Linked DNA regions of Callithrix jacchus. The protein of the gene in region 3 purifies or fractionates together with the protein of the main gene of each other region. This does not show direct contact. Links are inferred from orthologs where the notes say so. Each region holds a gene or a part of one and is shown on either strand. Other genes may lie near its edges.

What was found.
Region 1: the proteins of RNF146 (region 3) and CHD1L purify together in Homo sapiens (co-immunoprecipitation; 3 studies listed by BioGRID and IntAct, counting the BioPlex papers as one, with this or other methods). This does not show direct contact. The link is inferred for Callithrix jacchus from reciprocal best matches to the Homo sapiens genes RNF146 and CHD1L.
Region 2: the proteins of RNF146 (region 3) and PARP2 purify together in Homo sapiens (affinity purification with mass spectrometry; 4 studies listed by BioGRID and IntAct, counting the BioPlex papers as one, with this or other methods). This does not show direct contact. The link is inferred for Callithrix jacchus from reciprocal best matches to the Homo sapiens genes RNF146 and PARP2.
Region 4: the proteins of RNF146 (region 3) and HLTF purify together in Homo sapiens (affinity purification with mass spectrometry; 4 studies listed by BioGRID and IntAct, with this or other methods). This does not show direct contact. The link is inferred for Callithrix jacchus from reciprocal best matches to the Homo sapiens genes RNF146 and HLTF.
Region 5: the proteins of RNF146 (region 3) and XRCC1 purify together in Homo sapiens (co-immunoprecipitation; 3 studies listed by BioGRID and IntAct, with this or other methods). This does not show direct contact. The link is inferred for Callithrix jacchus from reciprocal best matches to the Homo sapiens genes RNF146 and XRCC1.

The regions. Positions count from the first base shown.
Region 1 is NC_133519.1:7,379,398-7,383,339, forward strand, and holds part of CHD1L (chromodomain-helicase-DNA-binding protein 1-like), read left to right. Parts: intron 1-466; coding exon 467-622; intron 623-1,962; coding exon 1,963-2,055; intron 2,056-3,324; coding exon 3,325-3,421; intron 3,422-3,942. UniProt on the Homo sapiens protein: ATP-dependent chromatin remodeler that mediates chromatin-remodeling following DNA damage.
Region 2 is NC_133509.1:55,070,316-55,074,753, forward strand, and holds the start of PARP2 (poly [ADP-ribose] polymerase 2), read left to right. Parts: upstream 1-1,574; 5' UTR 1,575-1,581; coding exon 1,582-1,627; exon of another isoform or gene 1,628-1,654; coding exon of another isoform or gene 1,655-1,661; intron 1,662-2,856; coding exon 2,857-3,012; intron 3,013-3,317; coding exon 3,318-3,388; intron 3,389-4,438. UniProt on the Homo sapiens protein: Poly-ADP-ribosyltransferase that mediates poly-ADP-ribosylation of proteins and plays a key role in DNA repair.
Region 3 is NC_133505.1:133,838,610-133,842,982, reverse strand, and holds the start of RNF146 (E3 ubiquitin-protein ligase RNF146), read right to left. Parts: upstream 2,882-4,373; 5' UTR 2,650-2,881; intron 1-2,649. UniProt on the Homo sapiens protein: E3 ubiquitin-protein ligase that specifically binds poly-ADP-ribosylated (PARsylated) proteins and mediates their ubiquitination and subsequent degradation. May regulate many important biological processes, such as cell survival and DNA damage response.
Region 4 is NC_133518.1:36,168,884-36,173,406, forward strand, and holds the start of HLTF (helicase-like transcription factor), read left to right. Parts: upstream 1-1,688; 5' UTR 1,689-1,894; coding exon 1,895-1,914; intron 1,915-3,348; coding exon 3,349-3,556; intron 3,557-4,523. UniProt on the Homo sapiens protein: Has both helicase and E3 ubiquitin ligase activities. Possesses intrinsic ATP-dependent nucleosome-remodeling activity; This activity may be required for transcriptional activation or repression of specific target promoters.
Region 5 is NC_133523.1:38,064,400-38,068,940, reverse strand, and holds the start of XRCC1 (DNA repair protein XRCC1), read left to right. Parts: upstream 1-1,654; 5' UTR 1,655-1,771; coding exon 1,772-1,822; intron 1,823-2,219; coding exon 2,220-2,312; intron 2,313-2,848; exon of another isoform or gene 2,849-3,041; intron 3,042-4,541. UniProt on the Homo sapiens protein: Scaffold protein involved in DNA single-strand break repair by mediating the assembly of DNA break repair protein complexes. Negatively regulates ADP-ribosyltransferase activity of PARP1 during base-excision repair in order to prevent excessive PARP1 activity.

The DNA.
Region 1 (3,942 bases), on a different chromosome or scaffold from region 3:
AATAAGGGATTTAAAGTCATAAAACCAAATTTGAATGCTGGCCACATTCACATCCAGCTGTGTGACTTCGGATAAGTTGCCCAGTTTCTGAGCCTCATTTAACTCAGCTATAAATAAAAATGGGGACAGTATTTCTCTCACCTGAAATTTCTAAGCTGTTATGCTGAGCAATGAGATTAAATACAAAAATGCTCTAGAAACAAAAGAGCTTTGTTGATATGAGATTAGTAAGAATCAAGTTGTTTGGGTGTTCCTAGTTCTTGGGTTAAGAACCAGTAATGATTCCAGAAATAATTGGGAAGAAGATCCTAGTGAAGGAAGAAGTGCTGTGAAAAATGACCATCTGGCCAAGTGCAGAATAAGCGTGAAATGAGAAGCAAAAAGAAATTCCTTTAAGTTCTCTAGTAGTTCATTGCCTTGGTTCTACTTTTGTCCCTTGCTTCTTGTATTTTTTTTTATTATATAGCTAGTGAGCTGCACAAACTCTTGCAGCCATTTCTGCTGAGGCGAGTGAAAGCTGAGGTAGCTACAGAGCTGCCCAGGAAGACAGAAGTAGTGATATACCACGGCATGTCAGCATTGCAGAAGAAATACTACAAGGCCATTTTGATGAAAGACCTAGGTAATCAGAGGGCACCTGTTCATTTAGAAACTAAATGAGGATGTGATTTCATGTAGTAAAATATTTTATAATCACACTTATTTGTATGATCCCAAGAATATGAGGTGGAATTTTGTATTGCGAATAATTCCGGTCAGCTACCACGGGACTGTGGTGGAGCTTCTTAAATGTAACTCAGCCTTGGTTGGTGCAGTTGTGAAATTTCCTTTTCTCCCCTCACTCAGTTTTTCTTACTGCCTGTAATTAAGCAAACACTTCTAAGTGTCCTAGTCATGCCTTTCATCCTCCCCCCCGTCAGATATGGTAGTCCACCCTCATCTGCAGTTTTGCTCTCCAAGGTTTCAGTTACCTGCACTGAACTAGAGTCTGAAAATATTAAATGGAAGATTCCAAAAATAATTCGTGAATTTTAAATTAAACTCTATTGTTAGTAGCGTGATGAAATCTCACTCCGTTCCACCCAGGACATGAATCCTCCTTTTGTTCTGTTATCCACGCCGTCCGCATTAGTGGCTGCTCTGTCATCAGTCCGATAGTCGTGGTATCGTAGTGCTTTTGTTCAGGTGACCTTTATTTTACCTAAAAATGGCCCCAAAGCACAAGAGTAGTGATGCCTGCATTTTGACTATGCCAAAGAAGCCATAGAGTGCTTCTTTTAAGCAAAAAAGGTTTAAGTTCTCAAAAAAATGAAAAAAAAATTCTATACCGAGATTGCTAACAACAAATCTTCTGTGACATTGTGAACAGTATATTGTTATAATTGTTGTATTTTTATTATGAGTCATTGTTAATCTTTTACTTTGCCAAATCAAACTTTATCATAGGTATATAGGAGAAAACACAGAATGCATATAGGGTTTGGTACTATCTGTGTTTCTAGTATCCACTGGGGGTCTTAGAACATATTCCCCATGGATAAGGGAGAACTGCTGTGTTTAAGAGAATGCAAAACTTTTTTGTTGAATCAAATTCACTGGGAGGAATTGGGAGTGGCAAGGGAGAGAGAGGGGTGAAATAATTTCTCAGTTTGCATTTCTTTGTCCCTTGACTCCACAACAACAGTTAAAGAAAATTTAGAATTTGCAGAAGAGTAACAGAGTACTCCTGAGTTCAATTTATACTTGAGGGGTCTTTCCTAAAACAAAATGGTTAGGGAAATTTTATACGAACATGATGTTAATTCTCAGTTCAATTCAGTGAAATTTGGGAGGTTAACGTAGGTTCGAAGGATATAATTGAAATGATTACGGTTATTTCTAGAAACTCAGGGTTTTGGTTTTTGTTTTGTTCAGTAGGCCATCTCTCTCTTTCTCTCCCCCCCCCTTTTTTTTAAATTTCAGATGCATTTGAAAATGAGACAGGAAAGAAAGTTAAACTTCAGAACATCTTGTCCCAGCTTCGAAAGTGTGTGGATCACCCATACTTGTTTGATGGTGAGGCAGTGCCCTTTCCTCCACATTATTCTTTGTTAACATTTCTGTGGCCGAATCATACCAAAATTCTTCAGAATAATTGCATATACTTACTGTGTCTACTTTGTTTATTCTCAGTTTTCTGTATTAGTGTTAAGTCATATATTGTTCATTTTCAAATATCCTCAGTTGTCCATCTAATATCCATCCCTTCTAACTATGTTTTTTTTGTTGTTAAATCCATGATCAGTCCTAGACCCTGCAGATCCTGCACTGCATTTGTCATGTCTTTTTATTTTCCTATAAAACCTACAAACATTTTTCAGAGTGTTTTTTTTTGCCCTTTTTTTCTTTCATGCATGAAGAGTCAAGACCGATAGTTCTATGAAATGCATGATAATTTGGATGGATTTGATCATTTCTTCGTGATTCGATTTCCCATTGTCTTGAACCCACTCAGCCTTTCGTCACCACTGTTCCAGGTCTGCCAGTGATCGCCCTGTTGCCCAGCTGGTGGTTATTTGTTAGTTCATGTTTCAGTTACCCTCTCAGAAGCCTTGAGCACAGCTGATCACTTCTTTCTTGAAGCCCTTCCTCCCTCGGCTTCTGGGATATACTTTCTCTTCTCCATCTGCTTCTTCTCAGTCTCCTTCGCTGCTTCCCCTCATCATGCAGACCTCTGTAAATTTCCCCTGAGCACTGTTGTAGCTGCGTCCTAGGGATTTTGATGTGTAGTGTTTTTGTTTTTCTTCAGACTGGGGCTTTTTTGATTCCCCGATTGTTAGCCCTTGGAGCAAGCACTCCTGTGGCCGTGGATACTCTACGCATGATCAGTACAGAGGGTTTGCTGCAGTTACTTTAAGGGGATCTCTGCCGAGCGGTGCTACAAACTATTTAAAGATAGTACAAAATCTTAAGTAGGCACATATGAGAACTTTTTTAAGAGGAGGGGGCAGTGGGAACACGTAGGTTTTGAAAGAAGCCCTCCAGGTTATTCTGACTGCCATTTTGATTTATTTTGTAGAGTGAGTCTCAGGATTTCAGTTTTAGGTCTCCTTGACCTTTAGCATCCTCTTCTGCGTCAGTTTTCTGAAGAGTGGTTTTATTCCTTAGATAGACGTTTATTAGGCTTGTTAGATATGCCAGACTCTAACTGGTGTTAAGCAGAACTGAGATCATCATGCAAACAACTACTTATAAGAGGAGCTTGGCTTCTCTTCCTGTAGCCTAACTATTGGCTTCTGCCCTTACTGAGGGCACATGACTGGGAGTGGGTTCTTTCTTTTCTAGGTGTGGAGCCAGAGCCTTTTGAAGTTGGAGACCACCTGATTGAGGCTAGTGGGAAACTTCACCTGCTGGATAAGCTACTAGCATTCCTGTATTCCAGGTAGGTGGTAGGTTCACATTTGCTGCTCTGAGCTAATGACTGTTGCGACTTTATTGAGGAACTCACTGAGTTGTTGAGGCCAATTCCAGTTTTCTTTTTTTCTTAATGCTGTTTCAGGTTTTGCCTTCTCTGTGACGACACTCGCACCCCATCCCTTCCACAATCATTCTTTTCTTTCCTGAGTTTCTACAGCACTTAGGATCCCAATCCAGCACTTGGCAGTGGGCTGCGTTAATCTGCTGTCTGGTTAATTGGTGTTTGTTAACTCTGTCACTCCAGCTATGTTGTTTGGCTCCACAAGGACAGAGACAACACTGAGCATTTCTTTTATAGTTGCCTGTAGTAACTTGCATTGAATTGACACATAATGAAGGCTCAGTAAGCATTCATTTTTGTTAACCTGTGGGGTTTGATTTGAACTCATCGGGAAATTGAAGGACTCTTTCTCAGAGACATGATTTGGGCATTAGAAGACCAGATTCAGTTAGTGTTCAGCAGCCATGTGTTCAGCTTATAGCTGA
Region 2 (4,438 bases), on a different chromosome or scaffold from region 3:
TCTGGCTTTTAAAATATTAATAATCAACTTACATACAAATAATGAGATTTGGGGGTTTTTTCTTAATAAATTTTACATCTTTTTTTTTTGAGACGGAGTTTCGCTCTTGTTACCCAGGCTGGAGTGCAATGGCGCGATCTCGGCTCACCGCAACCTCCACCTCCTGGGTTCAGGCAATTCTCCTGCCTCAGCCTCCTGAGTAGCTGGGACTACAGGCATACGCCACCATGCCCAGCTAGTTTTTGTAGTTTTAGTAGAGACGGGGTTTCATCTTGCTGACTAGGATGGTCTCGATTTCTTGACCTCGTGATCCACCCGCCTCGGCCTCCCAAAGTGTTGGGATTACAGGCGTAAGCCACCGCGCCCGGCCCCAACTTTACATCTTTTGATTAACAAAAATTAAAGTTTATCTTTTTTTCCTCTTTTTTTTTTTTGAGACGCAGTCTCGCTCTGTCGCTCAGGCTGGAGTTTAGTAGTGCGATGTCAGCCCACTGCAACCTCCGCCTCCCGAGTTCAAGCGACTCTCCTGCCTCAGCCTCCTGAGTAGCTGGGACTACAGTACAGGCCCGCGCCACCACGCCCGGCTAATTTTTAAATTTTTTTATAGAGACGGAGTTTTGCTATTTTGCTCTGGTTGGTCTATAACAGGGACTATTTTATCCTAACAATGTGTTTCTAAACGATATTGGTGCCAAAATCAGGATTACCCGATGATATAGTTAACACAAGCTTATCGAACCAGAGGGTCTGGAGTGGGGAATCTGCCTAAGTTTACAGTCCCCATACTCGGTGATTCTCATGCAGCCAAATATTTGGGCGCCCCTGACCTAGCGTCACCAAGAACCAGAAGACCAGTAGCAATTTCGCGGACTTCCTGGCCCCGGGTTCCCTCTGTTCCATGCAGTTTCATGGAACTTTTCTACATTCCACTCCCCGCCCCCGCATTCCGCCCGGCGTTGATACGCTACGAACCTCTCGCTTTACCGCTGCCACTCGGTTTTTCTTCAAAAGAGGGCGGGGGAGAGTAGTCTGAATTGGGTTATGAGGCCCCCGTTCAGGGTACCTCACCTCAGCCATTGAACTCGCTTCGCTGGCCGTGAGTCTGTTCCAAGCTCCGGCAAAGGAGGCATCCGCCGGGTCCCACCCCGAAAGGCGGGGTCCGCGGCATCTCCTGCCCATTCTGACCCTCGCGCGGAGACCCGTTCTCTGGGAACTCACCTCCCCGAAGCTCAGGGAGAGCCCTGTTAGGGCCGCATTTGGCCCTAGTCTCAGACCTTCCCAAGGGACATAGAAATTGAGTGACAGGACGCACTCAGCTCGTGGCCCCACTGATGAGCTTCCCTCCGCCCTATGAGGAAAAGTAGTCCCACAGACAACTTATAAGACTCCCATACCCTAAGACATTTCACGATTATGGTGACTTCCCAGAAGACACAGCGACATGCAAATATTGCAGGTCGTGTTTCGCCTGTCCCTCACAGTCGTCTTCCTGCCAGGGCGCACGCGCGCTGGGTTTCCCGCCAACTGACGCTGGGCTCGCGATTCCTTGGAGCGGGTTGATGACGTCAGCGTTTGAATTCCATGGCTGCGCGACGGCGACGGAGCACCGGCGGCAGCAGGGCGAGAGGTTTGGAGCATATTAACGCCGAGAGGAATGCGGGGTGGGGAGTCAGAAAAGGAACAATGCCACCTACGGTGACACCCTTTCCCTTACAGCTCCCCATAACGTGTCTACCAAACCAGTTTGGGTGCTAAATTTTTGTTTTCGTACCTTTGGGGATTACATAATTGTGCATAAAGCTTTGCGGACCTGGAACAACTAATAGTGCCAGTAGTGTTGTTAATACCTAATGTCATCCAATTTACAAAAAGTAATTGCAGGGTACACCATGATTTTATACTCCACAAGAAAGGATAAGCACTGAAAATGGTGTACTATGATTCGCTACTTCTGTCGTCCATTGTAAGATGCATCCCAGTTCGAGAGAGTAAAATGCAAGTCTTAGACCTATTGAGATAGAGTATTATGTGTATAATGTTCTTAAATGCATAGGTTCACCCTATAAATTAGGTACTATTGTACTTCTCTAGAAATAGAATATTGTTGTACAGTATTCTAATATTGAAGCAAGTGAAGTAGGAAGAGATCAAATACTTGAAGCAGCAGAGCTAGGCTCTAAGTTAGGCACAAACCCTTGAGCACTTTACTAACCTTTATCCCATACCGCCCCATGTATGAGGTGGATATTTGGGGGACACTGGGACACAAGTAAACAAAACAGATAGGCAGGCCTCAGTCTATGAACTTACAAGACTCCTGGGGCTCCCTTTTATTTTGTTTTATTTCATTTGGCTAAAATAGCAATTTAGGAAGAATTCCACAGTCTGTTATACAAGAGTAGTGTTTCGACAGTTATTGCCTCTTTGTAAACTTAGAAAATTATCTTAAACCGGCAGGGTGTGGTGGTGCACGTCTGTAATCCCAGCACTTTGGGAGAACGAGGCAGGCAGATCACTTGAAGTCATGAGTTTGAGACCAGCCTGGCCAACATGGTGAAGCCCTGTCTCTACTAAAAATACAAAAATTAGCTGGGCATGGTGGTGCACACCTGTAATCCCAGCTACACGGGAGGCTGAGGCACAAGAATCACTTGAACCCAGGAGGCGGAGGTTGCAGTGAGCCGAAATCGCAGCACTGCACTCCAGCCTGGGTGACAGAGTGAGATTCTGCCTAAAAAAAAGAAAAAGAAAAGAAAATTATCCTAAACCATTTCTTTAAAATATTTTTTTCAGTCTCTTAAATCTACACATATTCAGGTGTACTCGTTCTTCTTTGCCCATTTCCAAATTCTGTAGCATTAAATGGAAACAAAAGAGTTAATGATGGCAATACAGCTCCAGAAGACTCTTCCCCTGCCAAGAAGACTCACAGATGCCAGAGACAGGGGTTGAAACAGATGCCTGTGGCTGGAGGAAAAGCTAACAAGGACAGGACAGAAGACAAGCAAGATGGTAGGCCAGGGAGGTCATGGTCAGCAAGAGGGTCTCTGATAGGGGTGGATGAGGGGATGATATCTTGTTATGTCAGCTCTTATTTCTTCCTTCTTTCCGGATATAATTAATTTATCTAGCCTTTGGGCATACCACAAAACTAATCTACTGCCTTGAATCTTCGTTTTCATGTATTTGAGGTGGATTGAGGCCTAAGGAAAGACCAGGATTGCGTGGGAGGGCAAAGTTAATCCTGACAAGTTTCTGTTTAGCCACAGCAGCTGTTTTTGCTTCCCATAAAGTAGTACCTCTATGTTTTTCCTCAGAATCTGTGAAGGCCTTGCTGTTAAAGGGCAAAGCTCCTGTGGACCCAGAATGTACAGCCAAAGTGGGTAAGGTAAGAGAATCTGGAACCAATCTTCAGGCCATGGGTGTCTCAGAGAGCATCCTTTGTTACAAGGACTCGTCTGGGATACTGTTAGTATTCATTTTAGGAATCCTCTCTAAAATATGATGAGTGATTAGTTTTCTCCAATGGCAAGGGATAGGAGTGGTAGGACTTGGGGTTAATAATCAGGGTGTTTTTTAACATGGTGTGTTAGACCATTCTTGCATTGCTATAAAGAAATACCTGAGACTGGGTATTTTATAAGAAAACAGATTTAATGGCTAATGGTTCTGGAGGCTGTATAGGAAGCACAAGGGTATCTGCTCCTCAGGAGGCCTTACGAAGCTTTTACTCATGGCAGAAGGTGAAGCAGGAATAGGCACTTCACATGGCGAAAGCAGGGGAGAGGGAGAGAGAGAAGGTGACAGAGACAGAGAGAGAGAGAGTGGAGGAGGTGTCACATGCTTTTAAACTATCAGATCTTGGGTGAACTCACTCATTATCAAGAGGACAGCAGTGAGAGAGTGGTGCTAAACCATTCAGAGAAATCCACTTCCATGATCCAATCACTTCCCACCAGGCTCCACCTCCAATACTGAGGATTACAAGTCATCATGAGATTTGGAAGGAGACAAATACACAAATTATATCACATGCTTACCTTTTGTGGTTGCCATCAGCCTTCTATACCTCATTCTCTTTTTCAACCAGAAAATGTCATTGTTAAGGGAAAACTGTTTTCTTGTTCTAATGAGAAACTGTACCCAATGGCATGAGTTACTGATGAATGGGGAAAGAATCTGAAATACAGAAAGGCTACCTCTACAGTAAGTTTTCTTTTTTTTTTTGAGACAGAATCTTACTATGTTGTCCAGACTGGAGTGCAGTGGCTCAATTTCGGCTCAGTGCAACCTCCGCCTCCTGGGTTCAAGTGATTCTCCTGCCTCAGCCTCCCAAGTAGCTGTGACTACAGGCGCGTGCCACCATGCCCAGCTAATTTTTTATTTTTAGTAGAGATGGGGTTTCACCATGTTGGCCAGGCTGGTCTCAAATTCCTGA
Region 3 (4,373 bases):
TTAGCAGATACATCTTAGTATTTTTTATGAACGACTCCCAAATTGAGAGATGTAACTAAATGCCCTAATATTTCCATTTTTAGCCCTCATCATCACCTGCTAAAAATGAGCTAAGAAAAAGCATAGGTCATACTCGAAAACTTCAACAAAACTCACTGCAACTAAATGGGGTCTGATACTTTAAAGAATATTTCCCTTTAAAAACGTTACTATGTGGCAATCTACTTATTGACCTCACAATCTTTATACTAGCGCTTTAAACCCTTCAATTTTTCTCAAAACAACAACAAAAAAGTGGGCTTTGCATTTTATTTCAAAACATGAGATATAAAAGTGAACAAATCTTTTAATAATATCAAACACAGATGTTTCTTAGCCAGCAACCATTTCATAAATAAGAAAGGCTCTTTGGCAAATTATCTGTGTGACTTTGGTCAAGTCATAACCCCCAGTGTTTTGTTATCTCGTCCTACTTTATATTTTACGTTCTAAATGCTTTAATTAGCAGTCAGTTAACAACCATTTTGGATTTAAATTAACCCAAAAGGTAATAAGCCATGAAAACTAAAGATAGTTCATAAGTAAGCACAGGTGGTTGTAGCCAAGTGTTAAATAAATTGGTTTCTATACCCAAAAAGATTGTTCCCGATCCAGCCTGTTGTTTTCACAAATTGAGACTCCTCAGGCACAAGGGAACCAGGTAAGAGAATGGAAAAGGCTCAGTACCTTTTATTACTAACACCGAAGAAAAATACACATTCGAATTCCCAACTGACAGTGCTGTTAGACGTTTCATGCTAGTATATGGCTAGCACATAAAATAATATTCTTTAAACAGATAGATATTGTGAAAACAGAAAATTTAATATCCTTTTCTTCTAACTCAAAATATCGTTTTGGATCCTTTTAAAAAAAAATGTCTGTTCCTTTCTTCTGACAATGTAAGTTGGTGGAGACTGAAACAAAACACTTTGCAAGTGGACATCGCCTTTACAAAACAGTTAATTGTTTTTTCTTCCTCTTGTCTAAAGACCAGCTATTTGGACAAAGTTTTCCTGATGATTATAATTCTACCAAGTTCTGAACAACCATCGAAGAAAAGAAAAACTAAATGTATTTCCATTCTGCCCACAGCATACACTGGCCCATTTGAGACACAAATTGTAAATGAAAGATTGGGCTGAACAACATCCTCCACTTTAAAATATACAAGGCACCAAAACAAACACATCCAAAATCTATTTTTAGAGTGGCATTCACTCTTCCAGTTTTCTCTTTAAAATGAGATTTACTTGACCTATTTTCATGTGTTTTTAGGGCACCAAGACAGTCCACAAAAACAGTATTTGCTAGTCATAAAACAGCAAAGGCACAATCACAAATCCTGTTATTTGTGTGGGATATTTTCTTCATGTGTCCTTACGTGCCATGTCTTAAAAGTCTAAATATAGATTCACTGACTAAAATGTCCTAAGTCTTCCAGATTTATAATTATATACTGCATTGAATGCCAATATTATACGTTCACATCCCATTTGAAAAGTACACACACGGGGTGGGGGTGATGTGCCCAGCACCTGAAATGTCAATCATACAAAGAACAAAGCGTTCCCCATCATCTTTTGGCTTTCTTCTCTCCTCAGTTGTACATTGTTTCAATATTACAAAAATATCACTTAAAATGTTCAAAACTTGAGAAATAAGTGCTCACTAAAACGGCACTTAAATTAAAACGTATACCAAAATGATGAACGAGAAAAGATTCTTGTTGCCAGGATGTGTGTGTAAACTTACAGTCCTGTGGAGAGGACGGTTCCCTCTCCACATTCTTAAAAATAATTTTACATTCTTTAGAAGCCTTTGAAAAATAAATAGCGACAACAATGGAAGACCCGCACTCCTTCAGACTGGATGGAGGGTAGGAAGAGAACTCCCCACCCAACAACCAGAACAAAGCAACAGCCTCGGCTTTTAAGATGTACAGAGGGTCTGGAGGCTCAAGGGACATTCTGAGACCTCTTAATTGTTCCGATGCTTTAACAGCCGTCAAAACAGCTAAGAATATGCAATGCGGGGCTTCACTAGGACAAGGTGCAGGAATGCTCTCTTCGTATTAGGCAAGACCGAGACACTGAGCAGGAGGAGAAAAAGGAGGAAGAGAAAGAGCAGAGAAAGCAGCAGCCAGAGACACTCCGGGAAAAGACAAAATGCAGACTGTACGCCCTGGCTTCGATCTGACCCAAGGCCCAAAGTGTCTGACCCCACACGGGAAACAGGGAGCAGGCTACTGCCAAAAAACCATCGCCGCCCCTACACCTCGAGGCCAGAAGGTCCCCGCGTAGAGGCCTGACACCACGGCCCAGGGGGAGGAGAGGGACCCGCCTGCTACCCGAGGCACCGACGCGGGCTCCGGCGGAAGAGGCTGCGCAGTAATGGCCGCTGCTCCGCCCCTCGCACCCCGACCGAGACCAGCTCAGGCCGTCACCCAGGGCAGGGTCTGCGGCGCCCTCGGGCAGCACAGGGGCTGTCACGGCCGTCTAGCCTGCGACCGCAGCCAAGGCTGGGGTGGCGGAAAAGGCTGAGCTGTCCCATCCCGCCTCTGCGCGGGCAGCCGCGGCCGCGCCAGCCCAAGGGCGTCCATCTACGTACCGGCCCCTGACCCCGCCGCCGCCCCTCTCAGGCCCCGAGCGCAAGGCCGACCCGGAGTACGTCGCGGCTGAAGGTGACACCGCGAGCTATGCTTCCTCTCCCCCAGTGAGGGTCCTGGAGTGGCCGGAGTTCTCCCTGCTCCCCCGACAGGGCCTCGCTCCGACTGCCACCTCTCTGGCCACAGCAGCGGACACCTCGCAGTCTTTTTCTCTCCGGCCTCTGAGCCCGCAGCGGCCGGGGACGCGCGCGGCCCTCACGTGACCACCCGGCGCGTCGCGGGGGCGGGGCCGCGCGGGGCGGAAGCCGCGCCGCGCACCCGCGGGCTCGCTCCGGCGTCTCTTCGTTCCGTCCCGGTTTCGCGCCGCTGCCTGCCTGCACTCTCCTGCCTGTGGGGATCCGCGACTTCGCTGCTTGGATCCTTCTGGCTGCTTTAGAGTGTACTTTGTTTGTATTAGGGGCCAGAGGCTCTGAAAGAATGCAGCTCCAGCAAGCAGATTTGGGGTGGAGGAAGTAAAACGCGTGTAGGAACTGCAGGTGGTGCTGCGCAGAAATCCAGTTTTGCGATCCGGGAGAAGCCCTGGGGTGCCTAGCCGAGTTTCGGCTTGAAGATCCCCTGGCAAAAGAACTGCTTTTCCCTTTCAAGAAATAAAAAAGGGTGGTGGGGGGCGGACCGAGGGGGTAGAGTATTCTAGGGCTTTCTAATTTATTCACCTTTTTAATGGTTGAGCAATTTAATCGGGAAAAGCATGGATATTACTTTCCCTTTGAACCCCTCCTTTTTTTAAAAAAAAAAAACAGAATAGTGCTTGAAAAACTGGAGAAAGAAATTAATCTGCATGAGAATCTAAAATTAAAGAGGTTATTTTGATCGCAAGCCTGTGGTTTAAAACATCAGAACTCTAGCAGTATTCACCATTTTCGCATGTACATTTCCTTTTTCAGAACTGATTAAATTTTCCTAATTTGTAGGAAAATGAAGAGGGTGGAAGAGCAGGCCTTTTATCTTTAAAAGCGTATGTATTTCAAAATTTTATGACAGTGTCTTATTTGCAATAGTGTTGCGTTTTGGGATTTCATTAAATGTTTCATTCAGGATGGGAAGTTTTCAGCGACCTTATATGTATAGAAATTTATATGTTTTCTGTTATTCCTCTGAATCAGTTTATTTCAGGGTTCTCATTCTCATATCTCAATATGTAAACCAGTCTCTTGAAAGGTGCCATCTAGTTCAGTGATGCTTGCTCATGTATGCAAAACTGCTTTTCTTACAAGTTCTGTACATATAGAAATATTGAAGTGTATGTCCTTTAAGCTTAGTTTTCTATCTTCATCTTCTTATTAGCCACTCAGTTTTATCCCTCTATCCTACACAGCCCATGAACACAGAATAGCTAAAATTTGATAATGTACCCAAAGATTCCAACTTGAAGAAATAATGCTATTATTAATTAGCTATGTGCCAGGTGTTGTGCTTTATTTATATATACCCATTTAATTCTCCTAATAAACTATGAGGTAGGCACTATTGTTATTCTCATTTTACAGAAAGAAGCACACAGCTGAGATTTGAATCCAGGCACAGACAGTAAGATGTCAACTACAACTGTTTCTCACTCATACCCAGGGTCTTTGTATTTAAGAAAATGGCTGCATCTTTTCTTGTTCAAACCCATATTTAATTCCTTTCATTTATGGCTCATATGCATGTGGTATATAATCTATTG
Region 4 (4,523 bases), on a different chromosome or scaffold from region 3:
TTAAGTCTTGAAAGAGCTACGTTCTCACATTTGGAATTTCTTCTTTGTCTAATGAGTATGGCTTTCTTACTCTTACACACAAAATATCAATTTAAGCAATTTCTGGCATATTTTCCAAGAATTTATTTAAAATCTGGCACACCAAAAACTCAACCTGTATTGTCATTTGCCTCAACACACTTCAGGAAGAACACAAAACAATTAAAAAATAATTTGAAATGCCATTGTCTCTATCTTCCTTATCAACTTTGGTGAAATTAAATAATACATTGCTTCAAATTCTCTTGCTCATCCATGATTCATGAATACAGATAATTACAGTTTATTTATGATAATGAACAAATGCTTCTTGAAAAGCTGACCACCGGCCCGGCACCTGGCTCATGCCTGTAATTCCAGCACTTTGGGAGGCCAAGACTGGAGGATCACCTTAAGTCAGGAGTTCAAGACCAGTCTGGCCAGCATGGTAAAACCCTGTCTCTACTTAAAATACAAAACTTAGCCGGGCGTGGTGGAGTGCACCTGTAATCTCTACTCAGGAGGCTGAAGCAGAATTGCTGGACCCTGGGAGGCAGAGCTTGCAGTGAGCCAAGATCGCACCTTTGCACTCCAGCCAGAGTGACAGAGAAAGACTCCGCCTCAATTAAAAAAAAAAAAAGCTGACCACCTAATATACTGTGCTGACCGGCCTCTAACATGGACCTCTCTGTGACTGGCAAGTATTCTCTGGCAGTTACATGGCGCTGCCTATGCAGGTTGGCGCCACCACCAACCTCCTGCCCTCTGCGGTTAAAAGGTCAACCTCTGGGGCAACAGCCTCCTCTCCACCCCCAAAGCGCAGGGACCAGCCCTACCAGGCCTCAGCTGCAGCTGGCCCAAGGCTGACCATCCCAAGCCCGCATTCTCCCTCCAGTCACCTCAGATTCTGGAAAGCGGGCCACAAGGGCCTCAGGGTGCCTCTCTGCAGTTCCGTGAGGAAAATAAGCGTGTCCCCTGTCTGGAGGGGGCAGCCACGTGACCATGGGGGAAATGGCGCGGAGTCCATTTCCAGCAAACGCCCCCATAGCTGTGATAAGCGTGCGATGGCTTTCCTGCACCAAGAAAGAAAAAATTTCCTTAAAAATAACAAAAGGAGGTGGGAAGGGGACCCTTAAGTCCCATTTAAGATTTTCCGATCTCGTTGTGTCTCATACATAAGCTGAGGCTTAAAATGAAAATTTGGAGCGAAAGTCCCCAGGGTTAACCACAGGGAATGAAGAAAGGATCTTGCCTGTAGTTCCAGGTCTCCCAAGTTCTTTTAGTATAAGGCCCTTTTACGTGTCACATTAGATAAGGAGAAAATCAGAGGGAGGATACAGTAGAGCCTGAAAAATGGGGTTACGTCTTAGGACTTGTGAGGTAAAGGAAAGTCATCTCTCTCGGTTTGAGGCAGGGAAATCAAACAAAACGCCGGCACCGCAGGCACCGCAGGCACCGCAGTCACACTCCAGAGGCCGCGTGGCTTTCCCGCGCGCCCGCCTTGGGGGCGGGGAAGAACCCGGATGGAACCGCCCTTGCAGCCGGGACCCCCAGCCGTCTTTGAATGGCAGCGGGGCGGAGTTGCCCTCCCTTCTATGCCTTGATTGGTTTGCCTCCGCAGTTTCCTCTTCGTTATTGGGTTTTCTCAGTGCCAGTCACAGAGCGACGCTGGTCTCTCAGATTGTTGCTAGAAGGAGACGGCGTCGACGTCTGACTGGACTCGCGGAGATTTATCCTTCAGCCGTGCGCTCTCGATCCGGAGCTCGGAACTTGTCCCGCGCTTCAGGGCTGCGGGGCCTGGAAGGAGGCGTATCGAGGAGACCCGAGAACAATCCAGGGGAGCCGAGGCGCTCCTCTTGTCATCTCCCTCAGCGCCATGTCCTGGACGTTCAAGAGGTGAAGAGGGTGGAGGGGGTGGGGAGATGGGGCTAACCGCCTGGAGGCGTCCCCAAATGAACCTGACCTTCCCCGCGTTCCTCCGGCGATTTGTGCGGCTGTATTCCTTTTGTGGGTCGCCTATGTGGCCTCGGGGGAAATAAATGCATTGTCTTGGCTGGCGAGTAGGGGCTCCTAGGGCGAGTCTTGTGTTAGGAACTTGGGAAATCTCTGTCACTGACTGTCGGGGGCCTGGGGCTCAAAGCCTCTCGGCCTGTGCTTTATTCAACAAAATAACCATTAGATGCCCACTGTGCGCCAAGCACTGCTCTCGGTGGAGGGCCGAGTAAGACAGCCCTTGCCCCCAAGTGGCTCACAGCTTATGTGTATGCAAAGCCATTGAGATATGTATTTGCAGAGGAGCTAATAGAGGTGCGCACCGCTTGCAAGGAAAACGCAGCGCAATTAAAAGCGACTGTTCTTAGGAAAATGGAAACTTCTTGGAATGCTCCAGTAGACTTCCCCTCATTTTTCATTGTCCAAATTGGTTTTCATGGCTGTTTTCCAAACAGTTACAGGTAACAGGTTTGGGGGTAGGCTTAAACCAGCGACGGGAGCTGGGTACGGAAGGCTGGGGGGCCAATTTCCCACGGTGGCGTGATTTGGATGCAGGAATAAAGTAAGTGTTCTGCTCAGAGGGAGTTACAGTAATGGATGCTGGATGTATTTTCTGGAAAGTTGCAAACAGCCTCATGTATAATAATAGTTGTATTTTTGTAAGTCTTTTGTAGCTCAATCAGTATTGAAATGTTGACATACAGTTTTATTTATTTTTTTATTTGAGACGGAGTCTCGCGCTCTCACTCAGGCTGGAGAGCAGTGGCACAGTCTCAGCTCGCTGCAACCTTCGCCTTCCGGGTTCAGCCTCCCGGGTTCAAGAGATTCTCCTGCCTCAACCTCCTGAGTAGCTGGAATTACAGATGTGCGCTACCACACCTGGCTAATTCTGACGTTTTTAGTAGAGAAGGGGTTTTACCATGTTGGCCGGGCTGGTCTCAAACTCTTGACCTTAGGTGATCATCCCGCCTTGGCCTTCCAAAGTGCTGGGATTACATGCGTGAGTCACCACGCCGGACTCTTAATTGTAGTTACTAACATCATATACATTTCAATTTAGACGGTTTTCACTATGAAAGAGGTTTGTGAACTCTGACTGGGCTTTTCATTTTGAATACCTGGGGAGCAGGTAGAAGAGCCAATACTGATCTGGTGGAGTTTCTGGAATCCTTCTCCACTCACTGCAATTTCTGCTTTAACCAGAGTAACTATAAATCTTTAGTGTGATTCTCATGTAAGATTTCATTTGCTGAAGTTAAGCACGGGAAAACTCATATGGTCTTTGGAAATACTTGAATATTATATTGTTTTTCTTTGCTCTTTTTTTTTTTTAAATAGGGATCCTGTTTGGAAGTACTTGCAGACTGTCCAATATAAAGTTCATGGAAATTTTCCACGCCTCTCATATCCAACTTTCTTTCCACGTTTTGAATTCCAAGATGTTATCCCTCCAGATGACTTTCTAACTAGTGATGAAGAACTAGATTCAGTTTTATTTGGAAGTTTGAGAGGTCACGTGGTTGGACTACGTTATTACACAGGAGTAGTGAGTATAATAGTAGATAACTAAGTTAAATTTTGATTATATTTGTGGCATTAAGATAAGAGAATTAATTAGCAGGTGATATGTATGGTTAATCTTTATTTTACTTTAAGTAAATGAAATATTTGTAACCAAGAAATAACAAATACCTCAAGTGATCCTCCCGCCTCAGCCTCCCAGAATGTTGGGATTACAGGAGTGAGCCACCATGCTCTGCCACAGTGCGTTATGTTTGATTATTATGGGCACCCTGCCCTCACACCCCAGTGCCTTGGCATGTCATAGATTTGTTGCAAAAAGGAGATCTGTTTTGTGGAATCTTCTGGATTTTATTTTCATTCTTCCATATGTTTCTTAAGTTCAAGCTTCTCAAATCTTTTTTTTTTTTTTTTTTGTGAAGGTGTCTGAAACATGTTCAGAAGGAGATTCCTTGGGAAAGAATTTCATGTTCTTGATTTGTTTTTCTCCTGTATTTTCTTTACATTGGAACTTTTTGAATTGTTTTTTGATTGTCTGAAATGTATTGTCTAGGAGATTCCTTAGGAAGAAACAATAGTTCCTAAGTTTTTGTATCTTCCTTAATTGTGGCATGTTATGAATGATAGTTTCATAATATAAAAGTTATGAAGGAGTTAACGACAGTTTGGCTGAATTTAAAATCGTCGTCATATGTAGTTTCTCTCCATATCCTAATGCTGCATAGCATGGAATTCTCAGACAGCTATGATTTTCTTTTCCACTTAAGTGAATTGGATGTTTCTGTTGTTGTTGTTGTAGTTGAGGCGGAGTCTTGCTCTGTTGCCCAGACTGGAGTGCAGTAGTGCAGTCTTGGCTCACTGCAATTTCTGCCTCCCAGGTTTAAGCGATTCTCCTGTCTCAGCCTCCCAGGTAGCTAGGATTACCAGCACCTGCTGCCTCACCCAGCTAATTTTTGTATTTTTAGTAGAGACAGGGTTTCACCATGTTGGTC
Region 5 (4,541 bases), on a different chromosome or scaffold from region 3:
CCTGTTTTCCACCTTCCCACCGCCCATTTTTGTTTGTTTGCTTGCTTGAAGACCAAGACTGTGTTGGGCCACTTGATTCCCAGCGGCTGCAAGAACTGGGATTCCCTCTCCTCTCTCTTCCCCTCTCCTCCCAAGGAAGCACCCAGTGTGGGTGGGGCCCTACCTTGGGGCATGCAGCATGTCCAGGCTGGTTCTTTGGGTGCCAGGTGCTTTGTCTCCCTTCCCTTCTCTTCATGTGCTTGGCTCACACTCCCTGTATGTTTGGGCTGCCTCCAGCTGCAACCTCACCCAAGGCTGCATCCTTGGGTCTCCAAGGGACCGAACGAACAGAGGGATGCCTGTCAGCAGCCATAGCGGGCATAGTAAAAGACAAATGCTTACAGGCCACATATTGGGAAACTGAGGCTTTTGTGGAAGCATTCTAGGATGGGGTGTGCCCATGTGTGTGTGTGTGTGGGGGGGTTTGGGCATATGCTTTGTGTTTTATTTAGGACTCTGAATCCTTCTCTTTTGGCCTCAGGCATGAGGCTGAGAGAGATCTGAGAATGTTTTCTTTTTCTTTTCTTTTCTTTTTTTTTTTTTTTTTGAGATGGAGTTTCGCTCTTGTTGCCCAGGCTGGAGTGCAATGGCGCGATCTCGGCTCACCGCAACCTCCGCCTCCTGGGTTCAGGCAATTCTCCTGCCTCAGCCTCCTGAGTAGCTGGGATTACAGGCACTCGCCACCATGCCCAGCTAATCTTTTGTATTTTTAGTAGAGACGGGGTTTCACCAAGTTGACCAGGATGGTCTCGATCTCTTGACCTCGTGATCCAACCGCCTCGGCCTCCCAAAGTGCTGGGATTACAGGCGTGAGCCACCGCGCCCGGCTCTGAAATGTTTTCGTGTGTGTGTGTGTGTGGCAGGGGGACAGAGAGAAGAGTGCAGCCGCCTGAGCTGTTGGAGAAGATCCTGTTGCGTAGGATCCAGGTTCCCTACGAAACTATGAAAATTCACTCAGATTTGCTGTCCTAGCCCAGCGCGGTGGCTCACGCCTGTAGTTCCAGCACTTGGGGAGGCCAAGGCAGGCGGATCGCTTGAGCTCAGGAGTTCGAGACCAGTCTGGGCATCATGGCAAGACCCGCCGCCCCCTCAACCCTCCCCCGTCTTCACAAAAAATACAAAAATTAGCCGGATGTGATGGTGCATGCCTGTAATCCCAGTTTAGGAGGCTGAAGTGGGAGGATCTCTAGAGCCCAGGAGACAGAGGTTGCAGGGACCCGAGATCCTGCCACTGCACTCCATCCTGGGTGAGAGATCAAGACCCTGTCTCAACAAAAAATTTTAAAAAATAATAAGTAATAATAATAATACAGCAAAAAGATTTGCTTTCTGGGCTCCAGTATGGGCGGTGACTGCATCGTCCAATGAGAATCGCGAATTTCTTCTAGACACCAATCCCAGAGGTCGCTTCTGTTGCTAGGCGCCCGGAAAGGAGGGTGTGGACGTCATCGGGAGGCGGGGCTAGAGCGGGGGTGTGTGGCAGAGGAAGGCGGGGCTCCAGGAAACGCTCGTTGCTAAGGAACGCAGTGCACTTCCCGCTCCGGAGAGGCGCGACTGAGCTTGCGCAGTGTCGACGCCAGCGCCGGCGCGCCGGGGTTTGAAAGGCCCGAGTCTCGCGCGCTTGCGCACTTCAGCCCGCGCAGGGTGCACCCCACCGCCTCCCGCCTTCCTCGCCCCTCGGACCCCAGATCGTACCTCATCCCTGTGGCCAAGTGAAGCCCACGAAATTGACATGCCGGAGATCCGCCTCCGCCATGTCGTGTCCTGCAGCAGCCAGGACTCGGTGAGGGACCTGCGTGGGGGCAGGTTGGGAGACGTGAGGGAATTAATGAGGATAGCTCCTTAAAGAATTTTTGGGGTCCTTCTTGGAAGTCTAAGGAGAGTCAGTGGGGGGATTTCCAAGAGGCTAAAAGTGAGTTGTGGAGAGATGTTGAATCAGGGACATTCTGGCCTCTAGGGAACTTCCGGAGAGAAAAGGAGGAACAGGGAAGCTTTCTTGGAGAGCCCGTAGGTGAACTTCCACGGAAATTGTTATAGGGGAAACTCCAGGCAGAGTGTGGCGGATTAACCGGGGAGCTTAAATCCGGAGGCCTTGGGAGGACTCAAAGGAATCATCTGAGAGCTGGAGGCCTAGCTGTCATCTTTGTGCCTTAATTCTCCTCTCCCATTCTTGTTTCCAGACCCACTGTGCAGAAAATCTTCTCAAGGCAGACACTTACCGAAAATGGCGGGCAGCCAAGGCAGGCGAGAAGACCATCTCTGTGGTCCTACAGGTGATCCTGCCACCCCACCTCCTCCTCACTAGGAATCTGGAGTCCGGGGGGGCGGGGTCCGGATTCTGCTCCTGAGCCAACTGGCAATGGGTTGAGTCACTTTCTTTGCTGGGCCTCAGCCTCCTTACCTGGAAAATGGGCAGCATAATCCCTGTGCCCCTCAGCAGAGAGGGAAGGAGACCCAAGGATTAGGTCCAGGATGATCACAGGAATCAGTGTGTGGTCTGGGCAGGTGGCTTCTACTTTCTGGGTCCCAGTTTCCTTAGCTGAAACAAAATGAATTATTGCAACGTACCCTGCTTCCTGTAGCCAGTGGGCTCAGGACTGGAAGGTGTCCAGGAAGGTCGTCTAAGCCAATCAACTCCACTTCAAAGAAGGGGAAACTAGCTAGGTATGGTGGCTCATGCCTGTAATCCCAGCACTTCCGGAGGCTGAGGTGAGAGGATTACTTGAGCTCAGGAGTTCCAGACCAGCCTGGGCAACATATCACGACCCTGTCTCTACTTTTATTAAAATAAATAATTGTTTTTTTAAAGAATAATAGGCCAACTGTGGTGGTTCACACCTGTAATCCCAGCACTTCGGGAGGCCGAAGCTGGAGGATCTCATGAGCCCAGGAGTTTGAGACCAGCATGAGCAATATACTGAGATGTCGTCTCTACAAAAATTTTATAAATGAGCCAAGCATGAGGATGTACACCTGTAATCCAAACTACTGGGGAGTCTGAGGTGAGAGGATTGCTTGAGCCCAAGAGATGGAGGCTACAGTGAGCTGAGATTGCACAACTGCACTCCAGCCTGGGCAATGGAGGGAGATAATAAATAAAAATAAAAATATAAAATAAAAAAATAATAATAATGAGAGCGAACATTATTCAGCGTTACCTGCCAGTCACTGCTCTACACACCTCACTTCTGGATTAGCTCACTGAGTCCATATAAAAAGCCCCATGAGACAGGGTCGGTTATTATCCCCAGTTTAACAGATGAGGAAACCGAGGCCCAAATAAGTTATACAACTTGTCTGACAGTCAATCTTTTATTTGTTTATTGAGACAGAGTCTCACACTGTTGCACAGCTATAGTGCAGTGGCACAATCTTGGCTTGGCTCACCGTAACCTCCACCTCCTGGGCTCAACCGATTCTCTTGCCTCAGCCTCTTGAGCAGCTGGGACTGCAGGTGTATACCCATGCCTCGCTAGTCCTTTTATATTTTTTTTAGAGATGGTGTTTCCACCATGTTTCCAGGCTGGTCTCAAACTCCTGGGCTCAAGCGATCCTCCTGTTTCAGCCTCCCAAGTGCTGGGATGATGTATTTGCCATCGTTCCTGGCTCAGTGGGTGCTTTATGACTATGAGGAGCAGAACACTCTGTGGATAGTGCTAGCATGAAGGAGGATAAATTAACCTTTGTGAATGGGCAGTCATTCAGCATATATCCACTCCTCTCCCTCCCACTGGAGGGGGGGTATATATTTCCCTGCTCCATTGATGGGTTTGACCATATGATTTACTTAATGGAATCTGAGCACACCTAACTTCAGCAAGGGCCTTAAATGCACTTGGCTTTTGTACTCCCATGATCTGCCATGAAAACATTTGCCAGGTTGTTGCTGATCCCAGAAAACTGTGGAATTCCATGGAAGAGACCTGAATCCTCCCAAACTGCAGCCAAAGCGGCCATCCCACAAACCCTTAGAAGGATGCTTGTTGGTATAAGTTTCAGTTTTCATGTTGGGAGGCCAAGGTGGGTGGATCACTTGAACCCAGGAGTTTGAGACCAGCCTGGGTAACATGGGGAAACCCTGTCTCTACAAAAAAATACAAAAAATAGCTGGGTGTGGTGGCACATGCCTGTAGTCCCAGCTACTAGGGAGGCTGAGTGGGGAGGATCGATTGAGCCCATGACGTTGATGCTGCATAGAGCTGTGGTGGTTTCACTTCACTCCAGCTTGGGAGACAGAGTAAGACTGTCTCAAAAACAAAAACTAAAAACCCCAAAAAGGAAACAAACAAACAAAAAAGGTCTCAGTTTTAGGATAATGTTCTACATGGCATTATTACAGTATGAGTTAATACAGCTTCGTTGTTTTAAACCACTGAGATCAGGGACTTCTTCGTTACTGTAACATCTTCTAATCTGTCCCAGTTGATGTCAGTGTTTAACACCTGTCAACTATGGCCTCCACTTCCCAGGTTCAAGTGATTCTCCTGCCTCAGCCTTCTGAG